Linked DNA regions of Xenopus tropicalis. The protein of the gene in region 2 purifies or fractionates together with the protein of the main gene of each other region. This does not show direct contact. Links are inferred from orthologs where the notes say so. Each region holds a gene or a part of one and is shown on either strand. Other genes may lie near its edges.

Region 1 (4,023 bases), on a different chromosome or scaffold from region 2:
GTAGTTGACAAAAGCTGGGGGGTAGCACTTCACACAACAGATCCACATTGAAAGCAGCTGGAAAATTCCACTTGGCAACAGCAGCGACTACTGAGTATTTATAGTACTTATTGCCCGTATTTACTAACACGACTTCCCTTCCAACTGCCCCCAAAACAAGCCAAACGGCACGAGGTAACACCCCAAACTAACAGCACCCTAACAACCACCCCCCAAATAACTGCTCCCTGGCATACAAAGATCCCAACACCCCTAAATATCTGCTCCCTGGCATACAGACACCCCTAAATATCTGCTCCCTGGCATACAGACACCCCTAAATATCTGCTCCCTGGCATACAGACACCCCTAAATATCTGCTCCCTGGCATACAGACACCCCTAAATATCTGCTCCCTGGCATACAGACACCCCCAAATAACTGCTCCCTGGCATACAGACACCCCTAAATATCTGCTCCCTGGCATACAGACACCCCCAAATAACTGCTCCCTGGCATACAGACACCCCCAAATAACTGCTCCCTGGCATACAGACACCCCTAAATAACTGCTCCCTGGCATACAGACACCCCTATATAAATGCTCCCTGGCATACAGACACCCCTAAATAACTGCTCCCTGGCATACAGACACCCCTAAATAACTGCTCCCTGGCATACAGACACCCCTAAATATCTGCTCCCTGGCATACAGACACCCCTAAATAACTGCTCCCTGGCATACAGACACCCCCAAATAACTGCTCCCTGGCATACAGACACCCCTATATAAATGCTCCCTGGCATACAGACACCCCTAAATAACTGCTCCCTGGCATACAGACACCCCTAAATAACTGCTCCCTGGCATACAGACACCCCTAAATAACTGCTCCCTGGCATACAGACACCCCTAAATAACTGCTCCCTGGCATACAGGGCACCCCTAATAAACTGCTCCCTGGCATACAGACACCCCTAAATAACTGCTCCCTGGTATACAGACACCCCTAAATAACTGCTCCCTGGTATACAGACACCCCTAAATAACTGCTCCCTGGCATACAGACACCTCTAAATAACTGCTCCCTGGCATACAGACACCCCTAAATAACTGCTCCCTGGCATACAGACACCCCTATATTAAATGCTCCCTGGCATACAGACACCCCTAAATAACTGCTCCCTGGCATACAGACACCCCTAAATAACTGCTCCCTGGCATACAGACACCCCTAAATATCTGCTCCCTGGCATACAGACACCCCTAAATAACTGCTCCCTGGCATACAGACACCCCCAAATAACTGCTCCCTGGCATACAGACACCCCTATATAAATGCTCCCTGGCATACAGACACCCCTAAATAACTGCTCCCTGGCATACAGACACCCCTAAATAACTGCTCCCTGGCATACAGACACCCCTAAATAACTGCTCCCTGGCATACAGGGCACCCCTAAATAACTGCTCCCTGGCATACAGACACCCCTAAATAACTGCTCCCTGGTATACAGACACCCCTAAATAACTGCTCCCTGGTATACAGACACCCCTAAATAACTGCTCCCTGGCATACAGACACCTCTAAATAACTGCTCCCTGGCATACAGGGCACCCCTAAATAACTGCTCCCTGGCATACAGACACCCCTAAATAACTGCTCCCTGGCATACAGACACCCCTAAATAACTGCTCCCTGGCATACAGGGCACCCCTAAATAACTGCTCCCTGGTATACAGACACCCCTAAATAACTGCTCCCTGGTATACAAAGACCCTGACACCCTAGAATACAGAGCCCCCCCCCAAAAAAAAATCAAAGGCACCCTGGCATTAAGAGACCCCAAAAAAAACAAAGGCACCCTGGAAAAGCAGAAAAAAATAAATGCACCCTGGCATATAGAATCCCCCCAACATATAGGCACACAGAGGGCCCCCCCCATATAGGCACAGAGGGGCCCCCAACATATAGGCACACAGAGCCCCCCCCCCCATATAGGCACAGAGGGGCCCCCAACATATAGGCACACAGAGCCCCCCCCCCCCCATATAGGCACAGAGGGGCCCCCAACATATAGGCACACAGGGGGCCCCCCCATATAGGCACACAGGGGGGCCCCCCATATAGGCACACAGGGGGGCCCCCCATATAGGCACACAGGGGGGCCCCCCATATAGGCACACAGGGGGCCCCCATATAGGCACACAGGGGGCCCCCATATAGGCACACAGGGTGGGGGGGGGGGTGAGGGTTTGTGGGGGGGGGCCTGAGGGTTGGGGGGGGGGGGCCTGAGGGTTTGGGGGGGGGCCTGAGGGTTTGGGGGGGGGGGCCTGAGGGTTTGGGGGGGGGGTTATACGGACAATAATAATAATAACAGAATCTGATCCCAAGGCACAGACTTCCCAGCATGCTCAGCTAGCCGTACAGTGAGGTACAACAGGGAGCCAATCACCTTGCGGCTCCAGCAGCTACACACAAAGTCCGGAGCCCGCTGAGCATGCTGGGGGATGTGGCGCTACTTACCTTCATAGCACAGAATGCCGATGTTATTGTTCATCTTATCCAGGTACTGGTAGTTCAACAGATCCATCTTCATAAAGAGCATTGGGGGGGCTGCAGGGAAAGACCCGCTTCCTTGCGTCACCCACACAGCGAGAGGGAGGCGGCCGAGTCTGCCCCCGAACTCCAGGGCCCCGCTAACCCAAGCCCACGGAGAGTGCCCGGAGCCCCTCGGCGGGTAGGAGGGAAACCAGAGGCGGTACGGAGGGTAAGCGGGGGCGGCTCGGCGTTTGCCTGCGGGCGGTTCCTGAAGAGCGAGTGAAGGGGAAGGACAGAGGGAACAGGCGCCTCACAGCCCCGCTGCAAGTTCCTCGGCACTGACACGCAGGCTGCTCCGGGCTCTCTCCCAGCGGGAACGGGGCGGGACTGCGCAGCCTCACTGGGCTCTCTCCCAAGTGGGGGGAACGGGGCGGGACTGCGCAGCCTCACTGGGCTCTCTCCCAAGTGGGGGGAACGGGGCGGGACTGCGCAGCCTCACTGGGCTCTCTCCCAAGTGGGGGGAACGGGGCGGGACTGCGCAGCCTCACTGGACTCTCTCCCAAGTGGGAGAACGGGGCGGGACTGCGCAGCCTCACTGGGCTCTCTCCCAAGTGGGGGAACGGGGCGGGACTGCGCAGCCTCACTGGGCTCTCTCCCAAGTGGGGGAACGGGGCGGGACTGCGCAGCCTCACTGGGCTCTCTCCCAAGTGGGGGAACGGGGCGGGACTGCGCAGCCTCACTGGGCTCTCTCCCAAGTGGGGGAACGGGGCGGGACTGCGCAGCCTCACTGGGCTCTCTCCCAAGTGGGGGAACGGGGCGGGACTGCGCAAGCTCACTGGGCTCCCTCCCAAATGGGGGAACGGGACGGGACTGCGCAGGCTCACTGGGGCGGCCCTTCTGCACATGCGCAGAGAGAGGGGGCGGGGGGATCCTGCTGCAGGTTGGCCCCGCCCCGTACCAAAACACAGATAAACTGCACCATTGGGGCAATGTAAGTCTGTCAGTGAGGGGTTAATGGGCAGGGGAACCGGCGGTACTGACCCAGGAACTGTAACCCCCGCCCCCAAGCATTGCTCTCTGGGCTGCACGTTTAACTCCTTATAAACCCACCCAATTGCACCCCCGCCCCAACTCCTACACTATATACCCCTCTTATTGCCCCCAGGTATCTCACCGATTAACCCTACACGTGCCGCTGTTCCTCCTCTCTCTCTCTATTAACCCTACATGTGCCGCTGTTCCTCCTCTCTCTCTCTATTAACCCTACATGTGCCGCTGTTCCTCCTCTCTCTCTCTATTAACCCTACATGTGCCGCTGTTCCTCCTCTCTCTCTCTATTAACCCTACATGTGCCGCTGTTCCTCCTCTCTCTCTCTATTAACCCTACATGTGCCGCTGTTCCTCCTCTCTCTCTCTATTAACCCTACATGTGCCGCTGTTCCTCCTCTCTCTCTCTATTAACCCTACATGTGCCGCTGTTCCTCCTCTCTCTCTCTATTAA
Region 2 (4,029 bases):
TCGATTCTGCATAAGGCTGTGCGAGAGAGCAACTTGCACCCACCAACATGCCTCTTGCCATTTGGTTAAGTGGTTGGAGTATTCTTGGGTGCTCTAGTGCTCATTCCTTAGGCATGTCTGTATTTCCATGATAATTACAAATGTCACTGCATTACCCCTTGGAGGCCAAAGATTAAAAACCATTGAGTTTTATGGTGTCTCTTCAAACAATTCCCTAATGCCAGTAACCGATTCACTGCACACTGTAGGTGTCCTGCTCTCAAAGTTACATCTGCAAACCAGTAGGTTCCTTTAGTATGTTTCCACATGGAGGCATTTTGGGAATGTGTTAGGGATAAAGGGAAAGATTTGCCTCATTACATTCCATTTTGCAGAGCAACATTCTGGTTCTTTTCTCTCACAAATCCCCATCCATTAGAACCTGTCTTTGGTTTGCAGGTTATTGGTGGGGAGCTGAACATATACACAAAAGGGGCAGGGGACCCCTTGCACAGAACAGGTGACCATGATTTACCGGAGTTCCTAAGGGTCCCTCTCCTTTTTCACCTTGACATCCCCTGCCAGGATGGTGGCAATTTCCCCTTGCATGAATGCCCACGGTACATTAGAACCCACTAAGGGGCACTTCTCCCCACTGGGACAGTAGACTTCACCAGTTGCCCCTTGGGCTTTAATGCTGTCACGAGAACAGGGAAAGCAGAATTTGTGGCTGGGCACAGATGGACACTGGACAAAGTGTGTGTCCTCTAGACGCTCATGACAAATGGTGCAGCACAGAGGGCCACTGTTAGCCATGGGGGAATCAGGAATATTCTGGGGATGCACTTGGTCCATTCCAGGATGAGGGGCACCCCCAGCAGGTGCCACTTGAAGACTCAGGTCTGCTGAACCTGCACCATTGCGGGAGTTAAGACGTCTTTGTCCTGTTACCGATGCAGGTGAAACTGGGCTGCTGCTATTTCTGCGGGCTGATGAAGTGGTGGAGTGAACTGGTGGTACACCACCTGTCTGCCCATCCTTGGGGGAGTGGGCAGTGCCCAGAGTGTCTGTAACTGACTGAAGTGCTGCCATAGGAGATGGACCATTTGGAGGTGCACTCTCAGGTGGGGTTGTGCGCTGTGGGTGGCCAGGGCCTAGCGGTGGGGGAGGAACAGAAGGTACACCATAGGCTGCAGATGAAGAAGATGGTGTGCCTCCTGCAGCTGCCATGCTTAGTTGTTTTATACCATCAGGCTGCCCAGTTATCCACATTTGTCCATCGGCTGAGTCTGGTTCTGGGGAGGGTTTGCGTTTCCTTACACCACTTCTGGCCTGCCCACTGCCACCAGCTGATGATGAGGCAGCTGCAGCTGCAGCCAGTGCCCGTGGCAGATTTACAAGTGCGCTGGGCAGCATGGGACACCCAGGGTCAAGGTAGGGTTGGGGTAACATATCGGCCCCTACCATTTCTTTAAAAAAGCGCACAGATTCTGGAAGCAAGTCCCCAAGCAAACGCCAGTCTCCAGAACCATGCTTTTTCTCATATTCCAGGTATTTAAAACCAGATGACAGACCACGACCAAAGTCCTTCATGCAGTCCTGATACATTTGTTTGGCTACACCAGAGGCAGAACTAAACACATTAAGTAAGCCACTGGGATATTCAACAAACAGTTTCAATTCATAATCCAGCAGGCCTGGCTTTGATGCAGCATCAAATGCAAAGACTCTCCCCAGCAAGTTGTGGTCCTTTTTGAAGCGAACATCAAAGGGTGTACAGGCAGATAGAGTGAGCAATGCATCTCTCACTGCTTTAGGCTTCCCTGCCCACTCTTCTGCTCTATTACGTAGGCTCTCTGTCAGTTCAGAAAGAGCCTCACTGTTTCGCTGCTTTTCCTTGAGCTCTCGCTCCTGGTCAGTACTAGATACAGATCCTGGACGCTTGGGGTCACCAGATGAAGAGGCTGTAGGTGGAACACTTAGGCCACTGGAACTTGCAGGACCCCTTCCCAGAACATGAGGAGCTCCTGATGGAGTGCCTGATGGTGGTCCATTAAGAAGGGTCTGGGGTAGAAGATTAGGAGGCACACTCAGCTGCCCTGGCACCAGTTGTGGGATTAGCCCATGACCTGTTCGGCCGCGTGAGTTGGGACTCTGCCTGTTCAGCTCTGGGGGGCCATCCTCCCCTGGCTTGGGGAACCCATTAAGGCCATTGGGAAGCCGAGCAGTTAATGTGTACTCGAAGCGACCTCGATCTGTGGCCAATCCGTATCTCTCCAGCCCAGAGGCAGCTGCTGCCTTAGTAGCCCCATCTAAATGGTTTAGCTGGGCAGTATCTTTTGCTGTGAGGGCTGCCTGCACAGCTGGGTGCTGTTTGTTGGCTGCTCCTGAGCCGGGGCCCTGGGGTCCAGGTGAACGACCATCCTGGAAACTGTGGCTGCGTTTCAGTTGCCGAGCAGTGTCAATGACAAATTCTATTCGATCTGCCCCCTCATAGTTGACACAGCCGCGACAAACTGGCTCAGTGAAGTCCCAGATCATAGCCCATGGCATCCGTGGCAAGTCACACAGGTAACACGACTGGCGGCGTGAGGAGGAGACCTGTGCGGCCGACATGCTGGTGAGCGAAGGCTCAACACAGGGGAGGGGAAGGAATACTCAGCGTGGGGGGAGCATGCGGTGAAGGGTATTGATAGCTCTTTCTGCTCGATCCGGATGCTATTTAGGAGACGCTGGGTGCACAGAAAGCCGGTTAGCACGCTTCTCCGGGCTCTTCGCCTGTCTTTCCGCCGTTCTCCTCTCCGGGCGTGCTCTCTCCGACTGTCGCTCTATCCGCAAGCCGCAGCCCGCCCGGAACGCGCACTCACACGAACGCGCACACTCTGTCACGCAGGATTGGGATTCCGCGAGTGCGTGCGCGTCTCTAAACTGCACCGTAATGACGAAGTCCAAGAATGCCACCTGGCTTTGACGTCACTCCCCCGCCCCCACTGACAAACATGTTGTTGAGTCCCGGGCCTGTCCGCACAACTTCCCCGCCCTCTCTGCTCTTCTGCGCTCTGCACACGTGGTGTTCCTATCACGTGACTCGCTTAGCAGCGGGCTGCTGTGTGAAAATTCTGTTCTGAGGTTGAACAAAATGGTGACACGCAGTGAAATACAAAACAGTGCAAACGGTGACGTGTGAGACTAATAGTTGCCGGCACACTCCTTTGAAATGGAACGCGTGCTAGTAAAAGCGCTTACATGGACAATTCTTTAGGATCGTTGCTTTGTGGCTGCACATAAATAAAGGCTGTGTATTGTATGTGTTTTTGGTTTGAGAGGGGTGAGGTGGGTTATAGACGCGATAACGTTGTCTAGTCATATATATTTTGTAAAGCGTGTGGGCCAAACAGTAGCTAATATAGTAGGCAGCTTAAAGGAACAGGACCACCGGAGAATGAAAGTGTTTCTAAAGAATTACTTTAAAACAGTCGTTTATTTTGGGCTGTTCCTTTAAAGCTGAAATAATTAAACAGAAGCTTTTGAGAGTCTTTTTGGTTGCTGTGTGATGAATATTTTATGCTGCTTTTTTGATGTCTTGTAATCTGCTGTTTTTACCTTATGGTTTTAACAGTATAATTTTATAATAATTAATAAAGGGAACCTTTTGTTATTTTAATGCATCATTGCAGATGTGTCAATTTAAATTGCTTTTTGCTGTGGGAATTCCCCCCCCCCCTGCACCTACTTAATGTGATTTGCACCTAGGCAGGTATTTCACCACCTAGAGCTGGGGCCGATATTACAAATTACAGTGTAGTTGGTGGTAAATTAATAATTTAGTGAATTTACTTCCCAGAGTATTTCACAACTAAACATTGCCTTTTAGGGCAGTGGCACACGGGAAGATTAGTCGCCCAGCTTCTTTGTCGCGGGCAACTAATCTCCCCGCAATGCTATCCCACCGGCTAGAATGTAAATCGCCGGTGGGATGGCATACGCGTCGCTGCAATTTCCGGAAGCCGCCTGAAGTTGCCTTAAGCGAAAACTTTGGGCAACTTCCGG

What was found.
Region 1: the proteins of irf2bpl (region 2) and vgll4 purify together in Homo sapiens (affinity purification with mass spectrometry; 3 studies listed by BioGRID and IntAct, counting the BioPlex papers as one, with this or other methods). This does not show direct contact. The link is inferred for Xenopus tropicalis from reciprocal best matches to the Homo sapiens genes IRF2BPL and VGLL4.

Annotation. Positions count from the first base shown.
Region 1 is NC_030680.2:151,253,275-151,257,297, reverse strand, and holds the start of vgll4 (transcription cofactor vestigial-like protein 4), read right to left. Parts: upstream 2,801-4,023; 5' UTR 2,590-2,800; coding exon 2,508-2,589; intron 1-2,507. UniProt on the Homo sapiens protein: May act as a specific coactivator for the mammalian TEFs.
Region 2 is NC_030684.2:82,572,828-82,576,856, reverse strand, and holds the start of irf2bpl (interferon regulatory factor 2-binding protein-like), read right to left. Parts: upstream 2,801-4,029; 5' UTR 2,596-2,800; coding exon 523-2,595; 3' UTR 1-522. UniProt on the Homo sapiens protein: Probable E3 ubiquitin protein ligase involved in the proteasome-mediated ubiquitin-dependent degradation of target proteins. Through the degradation of CTNNB1, functions downstream of FOXF2 to negatively regulate the Wnt signaling pathway.